Rattus norvegicus: one gene and its partners. The protein of the gene in region 2 interacts with the protein of the main gene of each other region in a pairwise test. Links are inferred from orthologs where the notes say so. Each region holds a gene or a part of one and is shown on either strand. Other genes may lie near its edges.

Region 1 (5,299 bases), on a different chromosome or scaffold from region 2:
TCCACAGAGGATTACGAGTACAAGCAGAGCAAATGCACGTAGAACGATGTGCTGAGCACTTAGAGTGCAAAGTGAGTTAGGAAGTCAGGGAAGCTGACCCCGCTTGCCCTGCGAAACAGGAAGACACTGGAGGGTGACAAATGAGATGTGTGATTAACTGTTTCTGTGATAGCAGTACAAATGGTAACTCTGTAGAAGATACTGGAAGATTGCCTGAGTAGGCTATTGCAGAAACCAAGTGAGAGGGGAGAGCCCTAAACTGACAGAGCAGTGCTTAGAGTAGAAAGGAGGGAGGAGGTAGTGTGCTTTAGGGATATGTCTTTAGGTACAGAACTGTTAACTAAAGGAAGACAGTTTTGGTAATCCTGTCTTCCCTGAAAGTAAAAAGAGAACTTAGATCCCTATCAGAGTATAACTTCAAATTTAGGCTTTTTTGTTTTCGGGGTTTTTTTTGGGAGGAGGCGGTGCTGGCTGGCTGGTTGGTTGGTTGGTTGGTTGGTTAGTTGGTTGATTGGTTGATTTTCTTGAGACACGGTTTCTCTGTGTATCCCTGGCTGTCCTGAAACTCATTTTGTAGACCAGGCTGGCCTCGAACTTGGAGATCAGTTTGCCTCTGCCTCCCAAATGTTGGGATTAAAGGTGTATACCACCACCTAACTTTGCTTTTGTTGAGACAGAGTAACCCAGACTAGACTCAAATAAAGTAATAAATACTTCTGCTTCAGTTCCAGCTTCTGGGATTATAGGCATGTATCATCACAACCATCCCAGATTATGTCTTTCTAGGGAAGAGACAGTCTTAGATAATCTTATATTACTAAATTTCACCAACATATAACCAAATATTAGGAGGAAAAGGTTTGGATTTATAACTAGGTCCCAACTATGAGAATACTGAACTATTTGTATGTCTAGTGTAGTACCTGGCCCATTATAGCTGAGATATATATATATATATATATATATATATATATATATATATATATATAAACAACAAGAGACAAAGTGTACCTGAGCCTAAGGTCTAACTCCTAAGTCCTATCGCTTACCAGTTCTGTAACCTGAGGAAACTTATTTGACTTACCTGCTTTCCTAATTTGTGAGATGGAAAATAGTAAGGTAGGATTGATGGCGCTATTCAGTTGGTAATATTTATAAAGCACTTAGAATCTAGTATATATAAATATTTGCTAATGTCATAAATATTTGTTATTTTGAACTAGCATCTACCCTTTTGATCGGGACTCTTTATGTTTATTACAGTTTATGATGTCTCTGGAGCAGCAAGTGACAGAAACTGTGTGGTCCTCAGTGACATCCACATTGACATCATGGACTATATCCAGCCTGCAACTTGCACTGATGCTGAGTTCCGTCAGATGTGGGCCGAATTTGAATGGGAAAATAAAGTTAGTCGTTGAGAGGTTTCCTATGCAGTTCTTCCTTATGACTAGTGATGAGGGTTTTTTTAAAGTCATTCCCCCCAAAAAGCATAAGAAGTGAGAAGCAAACAGTTCTTCATTATGTGTTCCTGTGTATTATCTTAACGAGAAACCATGCAAGTACTTTGGTAATTCCGTGTGGTGAATGGCAGTTCTTTTTGGAATCTTGTGATGGTATCTTGCTCTCTAGCCTAGTCAAGTCTCCAGTGCCCAACCTTCTTGCCCATGTCATCTTGGCACAGACACTAGAGTGTGCATCACCACACCTAGCAAGTCATAACTCTGTAACTACTTTGGTTGAGACCGTGTAGACAAGATCCCTCCTGTGCTGTGTCGGGATGATAATCTACCATTGGCTCTCGTATCCTCAAGGCTGTGCGAAGTCTGTGGCCCAGTGGGAAACTTTGCCCCCTAAGTTTTCTGTGAACTCTGTGTCTCTTTGACGGTCTAGGGAGGTATCTGTCTGGAAGCCCTGCCATGCCAGCTGCTTTCGTAGCAGTCATTACTTTTTTATTGCCCTTCTTCCCTCCATAGTTGGCAGAAAGCTGTAGGATGAAATGGCTGTGACGCACAGTTTACTGAGTCCTCTCCTCTGCAGGTGACAGTTAACACCAACGTGACTGACCTGAATGATTATTTACAGCACATCCTCAAGTCCACCAACATGAAGTGCCTGACTCCAGAGAAGGTAGGAGGAGGCTAGAAGAGGTGAAATTCTATAAAAAGTCTATAAAAAAAAGTTTCTGTTAATGCCATAATGTGCATCTTCCTAATAAGAAAATGTCAGCTGTCATCTGGGGTGTGTAGCTCAGTGACAGAATGTTTGTTTAGCAGCACGCACGCACGCACGCACGTACACATACATGGGGGTGGGGCCGGGGGCGGGGGTGGGGTGTGGGTTTACTGCCAAATTAGTAGATTTTGTAGATTAGTTTCTTCAACAGTTTTTAAGTCCAACAAAAGAAGCCTTTCTTTATGGAAGTTAAAAGCCTGATACAGGAGACAAATAAGTAAATCAGAACAGAATATGTAAATATAAATTTGAATAAGTACTCTTAAAACTATAGAATGCACAGGGAATTCTTAAATTTTTATACATATATTTATTTTGAGTTTTGGCAAACTTATTAGCTCCTATACCAAGCACCACGTAAGTAAAGTTTTAAGTAATAGTTTGCATGTATATTGAGTTTGCCAAGGTATTATAGTTCTCTAGCCAAGTACTGGATCTATCACACATTTCTTCCCAGGCCCTTTCTGGCTACTGTGGCTTCATGGCAGCCAACCTATATGCTCGCTCTATATTTGGAGAGGATGCACTTGCAAATGTCAGCATTGAGAAGCCAGTTCACCAGGGACCAGATGCTGCTGTTACTGGCCATATAAGAATTCGTGCAAAAAGTCAGGTAATAACATCCTTTTTTGAGAACATCTCTGCACCAAATAGAGGAAGAATTCATATATGTCTTATTTCTGTGATAAATTTCTTCTGTCATAATTATGTTTTGTGCCTGAGATAAATATATACATACATACATATGCATGGTATTTTCTGAGGTTTAATTCATTTAAAATGGCTTATCTACCATATTGCCTAAAACATCGATTCCTGAGTGATGTTTGTTTTTCTTTTTTCTTTTTTTTTTTTTTTTTAAGATTTATTTAACGTACAGCATTCTGCCTGCATATGTGACTGCAGGTCAGAAGAGGGCACCAGATCTCATTACAGACGGTTGTGAGCCACCATGTGGTTGCTGGGATTTGAACTCAGGACCTCTGGAAGAGCAGTCAGTGCTCTTAACCACTGAGCCATCTCTCCAGCCCTCTGAGTGATGTTTGTGAAACAGATTCTATAGAGTTGTTTAACAGATAAGGCATCAGTCTAACACAAACCAACATCACTAAAATCAACCAGTAAACGTTTTTGGAGTCTGTCTTTATATCCTTTGTTTTGTTGTTGAATGTGACGTCGTCATCCAATGGAGGCGTAGTTAGGCTGTGCAGCCTGTTTGGGCATTGTTTCAGTAATCACTGTTGTTGACTCTGGGAATGTAACTCAGTCTTGGGAATACTCTCCTAGCATGTGTAGACCATGAGTTAATCCCAACATCACAAAACCAGATAAAAATATAAACATCTTCATTCTTCTTTGCAGGGAATGGCCTTGAGCCTTGGAGATAAAATCAACCTGTCTCAAAAGAAGACTAGTCTCTAAGAATGAACAAACGGTCCTCGAAAGTGTAAGGTTAAAATTTAGGTGTGGGCTGATTGGACTCCGACGTTTTTGTACTCTTTCATGCTTTATGCTTGTAGAATTTGAGTTCATGCTGAATTCATTCCAGCCCGTAATTTATAGCCTTTCCCCTAAATCAAGAATGAGTTTAAAATTATAGTTTGTCTTTTATCTTAACAGTTCTGAATGCTGTCCTCAAAGTATATAAAGTTCCTCATATGTACCAAGACCATTTTCACAATAAACAGATCTGTTCATAAATTTTTGTTATTTTATAAATAAATTACTTAATTTTAGATTTGTATCAGTGGAATTTCTTCTTTTTTTTACCTGGCCTATATTTATGAAGAGAGTTACAAAGTGAGTGACCTAAAATGGAGCGGGTACTGGTTTAGTGCATTATTGTTCCCTCATTTTCTGTAATGACATTAGTGTCTCTAAAACTCTAGGGTCTCAAACTTTGCTTCAAGGAAAAAGTATCCAAATTACCTGAGAAAAGTGTCTTTGGCTTAAAGGAGCTGTAAGACTCTGACTGCCATACTATTCTTGATGATCCTGAATTATTATGGAAATTAGATCATCTAAAATCAGTGTGAAAATTCATGCACATTCAGCATTGGGTGTTTGTGCTTGTTAGTAATTACAGTGGCTCTAGCCAGTGACAGACTGCACTGGGAGGATTAGCTTTGGGGGATTCAGCAGCTGTTCCGTTTCCAAATGGCCTCTGTTTTTCACTCCTTCCCTACTGTTCATAACTTCACTGGGCTAAGCAACACACACCCCTCATTATGACTCCACTTGTTTGTGAGTGCAGTGTCCCAGGCCCTGCCATTCTTTGGGCTCTGTACTAGGAATGATTGAGATAGACTGAGTTTTGCCAAATCTCAGCTTAAGCTATTACTTTGTCTTTCCTCCAGGGCTTCATCCTTCATTCCCCACAAGTCCATAGATAAGAGCTGAGGCAGAATGGAAATGACATCCTGTGTTGTCAGTGAGAACAGAATGATTTGTTGGGCCTGTAAGAAGATTAATACTTTGTATGATATCATAAATTTTGAAACCACTTACTGTTTTAGTCAGCAAACCAGAGAATTACAGGACATTTGCAGTCTTAGAGCACTGAGATCTTTAAACGCAGTCATAGCTGCCAACTAGGAGAGATACAAGGACTGTGGGAAAGGAGTCATTTTGATACAGAGTCAAAGGGTGGAGATAACTTGATGGGAGTTGAGGAATGATTGCATTAGATCAGTTCCCACACTGTTCTTTTGAACATGGGTTTCATTAAGCGACATTGGACATTCTGAAAGAAAAAGGGTCCACAGCTAGTAATTTAAGGAATGCTACATATAGTCCTTACTAAAGAGTCATAGTACACATTAGCATGCTAAAATTTCTGAGAGACCCTTCAGTGAGGAAAGTGGAATTTTTTTTTTTTTCTATTCTTTTTTTTGGAGCTGGGGACCGAACCCAGGGCCTTGCGCTTGCTAGGCAAGCGCTCTACCACTGAGTCAAATCCCCAACCCCAAAAGTGGAATATTTTAATCTTCCCTTGGTAGGGAATCCTTCCCCATAGGACACCTGTTGACACAGCCTGCACAGTCATAGTCTCAAGTTCACAGCT
Region 2 (5,209 bases):
CTAGAAAACTAGAATTAATCTTAATTGTAAAATCACAGCAGGGTTCCCTGAGTAGAGTGCTTACCATGCAGTACATGTTTGCTGTGTGTGATTTCTCCTTCCCTCTTGCTATAACCCTATGAGTAGACTAACACATTCTTATCTCTTAGTCTATCCAAACCATACATTTGCAAAGTGACAGGGCCTGATTTTGAACCAAGTCTGTCAAACTCCAATGCACAGGCCTTTTCAGTTCTTTTCTAGAATACTTGATGTCCTTATCTTTAAATGATAGAGTCGAAAGTCATTAGAATGGTGATGATGATAAAACCCTTTTATTCTTCTGTATTTTAAGTCTAGAATCCTAATCAAGATATGGAAACTGCTAGAAACCGCCCAGTGCCATGCAGGGCCACCACTTGATTTAAATATGCAGTGAGTCATGCCAAGCACACATATAACAGACTCTAACTTACCGTCTTCTGACCCTGTGATGATGATGGGCAGCTCAGGATGGAAGCTTGCGCATGACACATTCTGGGCATGTCCCTCCAGGGTCTGCACACAAGTTTTATTCTGAAATCAAGACACAGAAAGTTACTATGTTCTACTGTTGGGAAACTCATGTTAGAAGCAAAGGGGGAGGGGTGTAAGGAAGCCTTAGAGACACAAAGCATAGCAATGTGGGTAATAACTTGGTTTATGACTGCTCCCATGGTGAAATGTGTACCACGGTTACCTCACAACACTCACTGTTGTGTCTGTTTCACTCAGATACAGAAGTCTGGTAACATGGACACTCAAAGATGCGTGGTTTAATATGACGGTTTTAAACAAACAATAAGCATGCTGGCATCTTATTTTTAAAATCTTAAAATGCATTTGCATTCTTTTTTATAAAGGGGAAAATTCTAGGACCACAATTTAGCTGTAAATACTGGGGCCTTAACCTATGACTCTGTGAAGAGTTCCGTCTTAGGTGCTATCGGAAGCAGTGAAGACCTGCCTAGCATACAGCACGGAAGGTTATAGAAACTGTACCTGATAATCCCATATTTTAACGAGCCGGTCATCTGCACCTGAAATGAGGTATGGCTTATCACCACCACTGTAGTAATCAATGCAATTCACGCCTTTTTCATGTCCCTCCAGCGTGAAGTTTGGTGATGAAGAGCCCAGCTGCCACACCTTCAGAGAACAGAGGCATCTGCCAGTCAGCACTTTCAGAGGCAGTTCCCCCGCTTTCAACACAAGACATCAAACACCACAGCCCAAGACACAGTGTTCCAGGATATTTGCTCTGGTCTCATGATAATTTTTAGAAAGCAGAATCACTTCTCCATGGAGATTATAGATATAGTTCAGTTGTTGACCCTGTTATGTTTTTCTCAACTTGACATAAGTACTTATCTGGGAAGAGGGGATTCAACTGAGAAAATGCCTCCATCAGACTGGCCTGTAGTAAGCCTTTGGAGGCATGATGGTGCCACCCAAGAAAGCAGGCTGAGCAAATCATGAGGAGCGAGCCAATGAACGGTGTTCTTCCATAGCTCTGCTCATTTTACCTCCAGGTTCCTGCCTTGAGTTCCTCCCCAACTTCCTTGGATGATGGCTGGTCAGTGTTTTAGCACAGCAACAGAAAGAAAACTAAGAAAACTGTATACAGGTGAAGCGCAGGAATCAATGAACAAATTAACACTTTGAAAACCTCTACTTTAAATTAGGTCCTGATTGGATGGGAGCTTAGTGCTGAGTAGCATGTGTCAGAATGGAAGAGCTCGCCAGGGAGAGCGAGGCACACGCCTGTGTTCCCAGTGTCTGGGAAGCTGAGAGAATTAAGAATGTGAAGCCAGTGTAGGGTGGATACACAGTAAATTCTAGGCCACCTTAGCATACACTGTAGACCCTGACTCAAAAAATCAGATAAACTTAATTTAGTGAAGAAGTTAAAACTGATCTCAGTTTCCCATCTATGTCAAAAGCAGGGGCAATTCAACAAATGATAACAAAGTCAAGTTAAAAACCTGAAGCTCTTAAAACACAAAATAGCTTATATGAGTTAAATTACTAAAAATATTATATACATGTAAGCAAATGTGTAAGCAAAAGTAATGTGATTTGAAATTTATTTTAGGTCAATGTACTGAGAGGATGGAGAAAATCTGACTGTACTCACGGCAACAAATAGTCAGTATCCAGTAGAGCCAAAGTACTGTGCTACTCTCCCAGAACACCTTGGGGCTGTGCAAGGGGAGACACAGCTCCTATCCCAAATATCCAGGATATCACAGGGATAAATGATTTTAAATTACATGAATTATCACTCAATGTGAAGACTGTTAATAGAAACAAAATCTAAAGGGAATGACATACACTCTGTCTACAGCCATTAGTCGCTAGACTGGAGCGCTAGACTGGACTTTCTCAGAATGACTATCTGTGCTAACCCTTAGAGAGCTATGAAGATGCTCAGAGAAAAATAAATTCAAATCCGAGAATGCAAAGACCTGCAGTCAGAGGGAGAGCTGATGAAGCACTGCTCTGTGAACACTCAGAGCATTGCTAGAGGACAGCGAGTAGGTCAGTCATATTGGTGTCTGTATCAGCAGCCCAGGCTAGCCCTAACCATCCTGTATTTCACTCTTAGACATCTGTAGTTTATTCTCCAACAGGAAATAAACAAAACAGACCCTGAAGACAAGCAGTCCACAGCAAGAGGCAGAAAGAGGGGATGGCAACAGAAAGAACTTAAATATAAAACAGACCAGTGATGAGGAGACAAGAATGACTAAAGGACACACACACACACACACACACACACACACACTCTCTCTCTCTCTCTCTCTCACACACACACACACACACACACACTCTCTCTCTCTCTCACACACACACACACACACACACACACACACACACACACACACACACACGTGTCCTAGAAACGTGGCAGTGCTTCTAACTGTAGATCCTAGAGTGGAAACCAATGTTCTACTGCGTTGCTTCTGCCTGGCACAGGAGCACAGGGGCTTTCTGGCCAGCCAGAGTAACGCACCAACGTAGTGGACACCTACCTTGATGGTCCTGTCGAGAGAGGCACTGGCAAACTGATTGTTATCTTTGGGGTTTATCACAATCTGCATAACATAATGCGTGTGTCCTTCAAACACTTGTGAACAAGACCATTTTTTGTCCCAGTCCCAGAGCTTAATAAGCATGTCATCTATACCAAAAGAGAGCCAAGTCAGTTGTGGATTGTTTTCATCTCTGTAATAAGACAGTTTCAGTGAGTTTTAAGGTAACACATGTAGCATAGTTCACAGTCCCAGTACCTATGCCATAGAACTAATACTGGGAAAGTCCTTCAAGTCCTTACCTGACCTCAGAGCATACTGACTACAGAACAGTGCGGACAAAGTGCATATAGACAGCTACTAAAGACATACAAAAAACACGACAACTTCTTAAATTTAATTAAACAAACAAACAAAAAAACCCCAGTGGTTACCGGCTAAGTCTGGCTAAAAAAGCTGACTGTGGAAAGAGGCAGAATTTGCCTGATGAGATAAACTGCTTTTACAGAAGTTCTCACTTGTTAAATTTATAAATATTTCAAAGACTACTACCAACTCAGGGATACCCAGGTAACAGCCCTCCTGCGGGTCGCTTTACACTAATACCAGGGAGCGAGCTAGCTAGTCTGCATATGCAGATAAACCAACAGAGCCTGTGGCAATCTGCCAACAGCCTGCTCATCAGCATTCTAATGCGCTTTCTGCTCCCCAGATACAGATGCTTCTAGACCTTCGAATTTTCCATCAGGAATTAGAGCAATTGCAATATAATCCTATTAAAATACTAAAATACACAGGTGGGCAGCACCAACAGCACAGTAATGGATTCAAATTGTTTAACAGAAGCTTGGAGTGAGAGCTCCATTTGCCACTGCAGTTAAAGCACAACATGTCTCGGGAAGCAAATCATTACTCAGTGCACAGGACTGAGGCAGGTTGTCTCTTACCACTGCTTGTGAGAATGAACGGCTGGGTGGGATGAACAGCAATGCAACGGATGTAATCCGAGTGTGCTTCAAACATGTGCACCCTCTCCAGGGTGTTATAATTGAACACTCTAATCTGCATATCATCCTAGGAATGGAGATTTTAAAGCATCACTATATGAGATAAACTGTATACACAACTAAACTGTATTACAAGCTCAAGGTATAGCCTCCTACCATCAGAATACTACGTTTAATTAACTTAATGAACCAGGCATTACAACTCTGTAACTAGTATCTATGACCACTGGCCAATGAGAGGGTAGGATCTGATACTCAGAGCTACTTACTGCTCCTGTCACCACCCAGTTCTTCCTTGCGACAAACTTCGCAGCTCGAACAGGGAGATCACACACTTCAAAGGTCTTCACCAGCGTCTTGAAATGTTAATAAGAATAGACACATTAAGTTATGAAGAAGTAACTAAAGAGTCTTATTCTGCTAGGATTAAAGCATCAGTCTGTGAAGTATTTCTAGTCAAACAAATGTAATGATAGCTCAACATTGGGGGAGGGGGGCAATCAACTTCTCTTCAGCAGATTTGAAAATCAGAAACTTTGAAGAGATGGTCAGAAGGCGGATGGCACTCCAGACCCTGTGTCCTGGTCTGCCCCTCCTTTCCAGCGTTGCCTTTCGCGCCTGTCTGGAAACCTACCCAGGAAACCATTTGCTCCCTTCTGGCACCACTGCCAAGCACTAGGCTAGACTCCATGCTCACTCTTCCCCACCACACTGTCCAAGCAGGACCATTGTACAGCCCACACCTACAACAGCTCGTGACTCAGCCGCTGTGCAGTTTACTCCACTCTCTGTTGAGAGAATTGTCTCTTAGCTTAGGTTCCTTTTTTAAAAAATTGAGCCCATAAACCAGGCATAGTGGCTGGCATGAGCCTTTAATCCCAGCACCTGAAGGCAGAGGCAGGTAGATCGCTGAGAGTTCAAGGCCAGCCTGCTCTACACAGTGAGCTTTATGATAGTTAGGGCTGTATAGCGAGACCTTGTTTCAGAGAAAAAAAATATTGAACCCATAGAAATGACTCAACAAGATGTTTTGGGTTTTTTTGGGTTGTTTTTTATTTTGTTTTGGTTTGTTTTTTCTTTGGTTTTTGTTGTTATTGTTATTGTTCTTTTTTGTTGTTGTTGTTGCTTTTACATCTTAGCAACACATTT
Region 3 (5,757 bases), on a different chromosome or scaffold from region 2:
TTCCTAGAGCACTGTATGGTAAGACAGTTGAGAATCCCGCCAGGTTCAGATCCTAGCTTGATTTCTTACCGTCATGGTGATGATGCCGGGAAAGTTAATCGATTTTCCCCAAGTTTTAGTTTCATCATTTGTACAATGTTAATAACAAGGATTGTTGCAGGGGTAAAAATAAAATGCACACTTTAAAATAGCATTTACTGGGCTGGAGAGATGGCTCAGCGGTTAAGAGCACCCGACTGCTCTTCCAGAGGTCATGAGTTCAATTCCCAGCAACCACATGGTGGCTCACAACCATCTGTAAAGAGATCCGATGCCCTCTTCTGGTGTATCTGAAGACAGCTACAGTGTACTTATATATAATAAATAAATAAATCTTAAAAAAAAAAATAGCATTTACTAAATTCCGCCTCTTATTATCTTGCCTGGTTGGACGGATGATAAACACCTCCTAGACATCTACTCTAATTTGAACACCAGGACTCCTGAGCAGGACATGAGTACTTCTGAGTATCCAGGATACAAACTGAATTATTAATGGCCACAAACACAAATCCCAAGTTCAACTTACACTGGCAGCCAATCTGATGAGTGGCATTGAGCAGGCGGACACAAGGAGCTGTTTTATTTAAGGGAATGTAGATCTTCCTCTCCACTGAGTTTCCCCCACACAATCCTGACCGGAAGATAAAATGTGTTAGGCAAAAGTGAAAGATATTTGTATTAACCTCTACCATCATCAGCTTGATTCATGTTTAGGTAAATTGTTCACTACCGCACTGTCTAACACGAGAGTTATGATCATTCTTCTTACTACTTGACCACATTATTGGAGCATTAAGAGTTGTAAAGACTACCTAGCTGTGTATCTTAGAAAGTTATTGAACTCCATGGTGATCAATTAACTATAAGCTAAAAGATGATTGTCCAAAGTCTTTGACTTCAGATGTGCCAGCGTCTAGTTGCAAGGGTAAACAAATCTGCTTTTCTAATTTGTATAGATACATTACTAATTAGTTATGAAAAGAGCTCTGGTTTAAGAATATTGATTACCAAAACCAAACAAAGAAAAGCATTAACAACAATAAAAACCACCTCAGAATCTGAACAGACCTGGGGGGAAGAAACCTTATGCCACACACCTGTTCAGTTAATGAAACATCAGACCATTTGGGAGCACACCTAGAGTATGGGGCAGCTACAGTTTCTCCCTTGAAGCTAGTCAAAAGCAATATGAGTGTAGAGAAATATAGAGTCATGGTTATACAAGGAAATGGTTGCATTTCAGGGCTTAACTGGTAAGCCATACATTTCCAAAAAAGTATAGCTTTTCTTAACTCTTAGTTGAACGCATTATAAATAATTACAGGTGTGTTACTGATTGTAATTCACAATTGCAAGATCACTTAAATAGACATTAGATTAGAAAAAACGAAAATATTCATATACATTAAACGTCTTAAATTCCTTGAATCATTACTTTCCTCTTAACAGTTTAGAGCAGCGAAGCTAACGTTAGCCTCACTTTAATAAGTAAAGAGAATAAGGAACACAACTTTAAGCTAGAACCAACAGGAGGAAATGAGAGCTCTTATTTTGCAACGTTGCACGGAGACCACAAAACAAGACTGTTTTGATCTAAAAAAACACTAAACCAAAGGAAAGAGGATGAGCTTTTCACACCTGTCCCTTTTAATTGCTGTTGGGGTGGCTGGGCTTTAAATAAAACAAGGCATACAAGGCATGCGAATAAGGTTGAAGAGAAGCAGGTTGGAAACCCAGAAAAGGGCTGGGGAGAACTAAGCGAAACGACATGCCTCCGGAGAGAAGAAATGAAGGTTCAGGTAAAGGAGGAACTTATGTCATGGGAACGAAAGACAAGAAGGATTTACAGGGCTGGGGACAGAGGGGAAATCGGAACCAGAAGGGCAACGCTTGCACTTGCGACGAGCTGTTCCGCACGGTTCCTCTTAAAGATCAGAGGTCCGGGTGGGGTGACCTCACCTGCTAGTACCACGGAAAAAGACAGAAGAAGGAGACCCCGACTTCCTGGGTCAGGCCCAGAGCCGCCCCTAGCCGTAGCCATCTTGCCTCTCCGCTGGGCGGAAGCCTCGGGTCCCTTCCAGTCTCTTAGCGGTCTCTCTAGGCTTCCGCTGGCATCGTCTCTGTGGCCCAGCGCTCCCCAAACCGGAAGTTCGTGTCTGAGGAGCTTCCGGGAGCCGCGACCTGGGGTAGCTGACGTGGAGCCTTTGGGAGTGCAACCGGGAGCGGCGGGATCCGCTAATCTGACCTGGGAGCCGAAGGCCTGAAGGATGCTAACCAAATTCGAGACCAAAAGCGCGCGGGTGAAAGGTAGTGAAGAAGAAGAGGGGAACTACGGAGGTTGGATGGTAGGGGAGGTGCTGTCACCAAGGAAGAGAGAATGGGAGGACCCGTTGACCGAATTGGGCCTACTGGAAGAGCCCAGAGGAATAACCGAGGGGAGGCGGGTTAGGGTTAGTGGAGTCTCTGCAGTCTGCACTGCTTAGTGGGTCCTGGGACTTGGATTTACTCGTGTCATGGTTCGTTTGTGTTTTGTAGGAGAGCTCTTAGGCCCACTTCCTATTCTTTCCGTCCATTTCTTATGGGGGTGTGTTCCAGCTCTTTCTTTTCTTAAGGTCTTGTGACTTGTACGCTTTTTGATGACCATGTTGTATGGAGTACTTTTGGGGATTGATTCTCACCTTCTGTCACTGTAGCTTTTTCCGGAGTCAGTCACTGGCTACTCCAGTAGCCTGTCTGCACCATTTTAATGTCCAGCGCTTCCGTTGGACTTTTTTTTTTTTTTTCTTTTTTGCCTATTTGGAATTAGGGAACGTAAAGCCCTGCTACTGGTAGGATTGTCCGATGAAATACAAGATGCTTTGTATTAGATTTGAATACTAGATAAACAATTTTTTTGATAATCTGAAAGACAAAGGCCTGAGATCACACTCTTTCAAAATGTTGATGTTAGAAAAGCAGGGAATTAAGTCTACAGAAATCTGATAAAAATATATCTGGAATATTTTGTAATATGCATTATAGTAAAGTGGTTTAGAATGTGTTCATTGGAGTCAATCGAACTTGCTTAGGAATTCTGAAACATCTAAACAAGCCACCTTATGTGGCTTACTTAACTACTTCTAAATCTCTATATGCTTATCTTTAAAAATAAGGATAATTAACATTTTCTTATAGAGAATTAAAATGAGAAAGTATATTAATGTGATTATGATATGCCTTGGCCAGACTTAGTACCTCAAAAACTGGAGGCTATTTAATGTGAGACTATATTCTGAGAAGTTTCTAAGTCTCATGGGAAATTTGATTGTAAAGGGTGCCATTAAGAATTCTCAGTACCACCAGGGTTACACAGAGAGACCCTGTCTCAAAATGGCAAGAAAGAAAGAAGAGAAAAGAATCATCATCTCTGGTGCCAGTCATGATGGCTTTAATCCCAGCACTCAGGAGCCAGATGAGGGTGGATCTCTGTGAGTTGGAGGCCACCTGGTCTACATATCTAGTGACAAGCCTACACACTGAGACCCTATCCCCACTCCACCCCCCCAAAAAAGGTGCTATGGGCTGGAGAGAAGGCTCGGTTAACAAAATTTACTGTTCTTGAAGAGGACCTGAATTTGGTTCCTAGTTCAACAGCTCACATCCACCTGTAATTCCAGTTCCTGGTGACCTGACCCCTCTTCTGGACTCTGTGGGCACCTGAACTTCCATGTACATATACATAATTAAAAGAACAAACAAAAACCAGCTTCTGGTATTTAAGTAGTTGAAATGAGTCTTCATTTTCGATGAGCTCTTTTCAGCTTTCTTCTTGGGTACTAGAAAGGGGTGGGGGAAATCAGTACTTGAGAGTTCATTAAGAGTGCTGGATCAGAGCCGAGAGGGCATACTGTCCCTACAGAGTTTGGTTCCCATCACTCAAGGCATGTGGCTCGCTGCTGCCGGTAACTCCAGCTCCACAGGCTCCAGTGCCCTCTTCTGCCTCAGGCACCTACATTTCTGTGCACATAACCTCTGCACAGGTACCCACAATTAAAAATATAAAAGTGCTACGTTGGATGTAGTGGTTCATATCTGTAAATCCTAGCTCGTGAGAAGCTGAGGCAGGAGAATTGCTACAAATTGAGACTACATAATGAGGCCTGTCTCAGGAGGGGTTCACGTATATCATAAAAATAAAGGAAACCAAGGCCCTGGGTTCGGTCCCCAGCTCCGAAAAAAAAAATAAAAATAAAAATAAAGAAAACATCATACAAAATAAGTGTTTTCATTAACTTGCTATTAGAGTATATTCCTCTAATGCTTTTACAGCTAAGCAATAGCTACCAGAGTTGGCTGCGGTGACTCACACCTGTAATCCCAGCACATGGGACACTAAGGCAAGAGGGTCCCTGCAAGTTGGGAGACCAGTCTAGACTACAAAGTGAGGCCATGTTGTAAAAGACCCTAATGTTCCTGGTGCGATAAGGCAGGCAGATCTCTGAGTCTGAGGCCAGCCTGCACTGAACAGCTAAGACTACACAGAGAAACTTTAGCTCTGAAAAAAACTTGAAAAAAATTACCAAAACTTTTTTTTTTCTTTTCTTTTTTTCGGAGCTGGGGACCAAACCCAGGGCCTTGCGCTTGCTAGGCAAGTGCTCTACCACTGAGCTAAATCCCCAACCCCAAATTACCAAAACTTTAAACGTACATGTTCTAAGCCAGTGGGCTGATGGCTCAGTGGGTAAGGGTGCCTGTCACCAAGGCTTGATTCCCCATGACCACATGGTGGAATAAGAAAGCTGATTCTCTAGGGGCTGGGGATTTAGCTCAGTGGTAGAGCGCTTACCTAGGAAGCGCAAGGCCCTGGGTTCGGTCCCCAGCTCCGAAAAAAAGAACCAAAAAAAAAAAAAAAAAAAAAAAGAAAGCTGATTCTCATACATGTGTGCATTTAGACACAAACATATTTAGACACAAACATATATACACACCCACAAGTAAATGTTACACAAATTTTTTAATGGACATAATCTATCTTATAGCCATTCAGTTTTCAAGTGTTTAGCCTAAAGCACTATTAAAGCAATTGGCCAATATTATCTATAGAAGTATCTTCAGTAGACATTTTTGTTGGTTTGGTTTGGTTTGTGTCCCCCCCCCCCACTCCCCTCCAGACAAAATTTCTCTATGTAGCCCTGGCTTGCCCAGAACTTACTATGTAGATCAGGCTGGCCTTGAACTCAGATCTGCCTGCCTCTGCCTCCCAAGGAAATAAAGGCGTGTGTCACAACCACCTGGCTTCAGTAACTGTTTTATTTTAATAGCCAGAAACTAAAGGTGAATTCAAGTGTTTCCTAAGAGTAAGGCTTTGTTGTTGTTGTTGTTTGTATTGTTTATTTTGTCTTTTAAAGACCGTGTCTCACTATTTACACCATGTGGCCTCAAACTCACAGTATTTCTGTTTCAGCCTCCCAGATGCGGGATTATAGGTGTATAGTACCATGCCCAGCTTGTGAGTGTGTGTGGGTGTGCATGTACACACACTCGTGATCATACACAGAGCTAGATAAGCCAATCTTCTTCCACTGAAGTAAATCTCCATCTTCAAATCAGCTTAAAATGTGATAGACTGGTGAGATGGCTCAGTGGTTAAGGTGCTTAGCCCAAGGCTAATGACCTGAGTTCAGTCCCCAGGGCCCATATGGTAGAAGGAGGGAATTGACACCTGCAAGTTGTCCT

Evidence for each region.
Region 1: the proteins of Copb2 (region 2) and Copb1 interact in a two-hybrid assay, tested with the Homo sapiens proteins (2 studies listed by BioGRID, with this or other methods). The link is inferred for Rattus norvegicus from reciprocal best matches to the Homo sapiens genes COPB2 and COPB1.
Region 3: the proteins of Copb2 (region 2) and Copa interact in a two-hybrid assay, tested with the Homo sapiens proteins (2 studies listed by BioGRID, with this or other methods). The link is inferred for Rattus norvegicus from reciprocal best matches to the Homo sapiens genes COPB2 and COPA.

What each region holds. Positions count from the first base shown.
Region 1 is NC_086019.1:177,837,423-177,842,721, reverse strand, and holds the end of Copb1 (coatomer subunit beta), read left to right. Parts: intron 1-1,263; coding exon 1,264-1,409; intron 1,410-2,040; coding exon 2,041-2,130; intron 2,131-2,692; coding exon 2,693-2,848; intron 2,849-3,597; coding exon 3,598-3,657; 3' UTR 3,658-3,971; downstream 3,972-5,299. UniProt on the Homo sapiens protein: The coatomer is a cytosolic protein complex that binds to dilysine motifs and reversibly associates with Golgi non-clathrin-coated vesicles, which further mediate biosynthetic protein transport from the ER, via the Golgi up to the trans Golgi network.
Region 2 is NC_086026.1:108,046,448-108,051,656, reverse strand, and holds part of Copb2 (coatomer subunit beta'), read right to left. Parts: intron 4,417-5,209; coding exon 4,330-4,416; intron 4,128-4,329; coding exon 4,001-4,127; intron 3,203-4,000; coding exon 3,054-3,202; intron 1,168-3,053; coding exon 1,021-1,167; intron 556-1,020; coding exon 456-555; intron 1-455. UniProt on the Homo sapiens protein: The coatomer is a cytosolic protein complex that binds to dilysine motifs and reversibly associates with Golgi non-clathrin-coated vesicles, which further mediate biosynthetic protein transport from the ER, via the Golgi up to the trans Golgi network.
Region 3 is NC_086031.1:87,076,665-87,082,421, forward strand, and holds the start of Copa (coatomer subunit alpha), read left to right. Parts: upstream 1-2,203; 5' UTR 2,204-2,309; coding exon 2,310-2,349; intron 2,350-5,757. Other genes in the region: Ncstn (nicastrin precursor), read right to left, coding at 569-673, 2,002-2,083. UniProt on the Homo sapiens protein: The coatomer is a cytosolic protein complex that binds to dilysine motifs and reversibly associates with Golgi non-clathrin-coated vesicles, which further mediate biosynthetic protein transport from the ER, via the Golgi up to the trans Golgi network.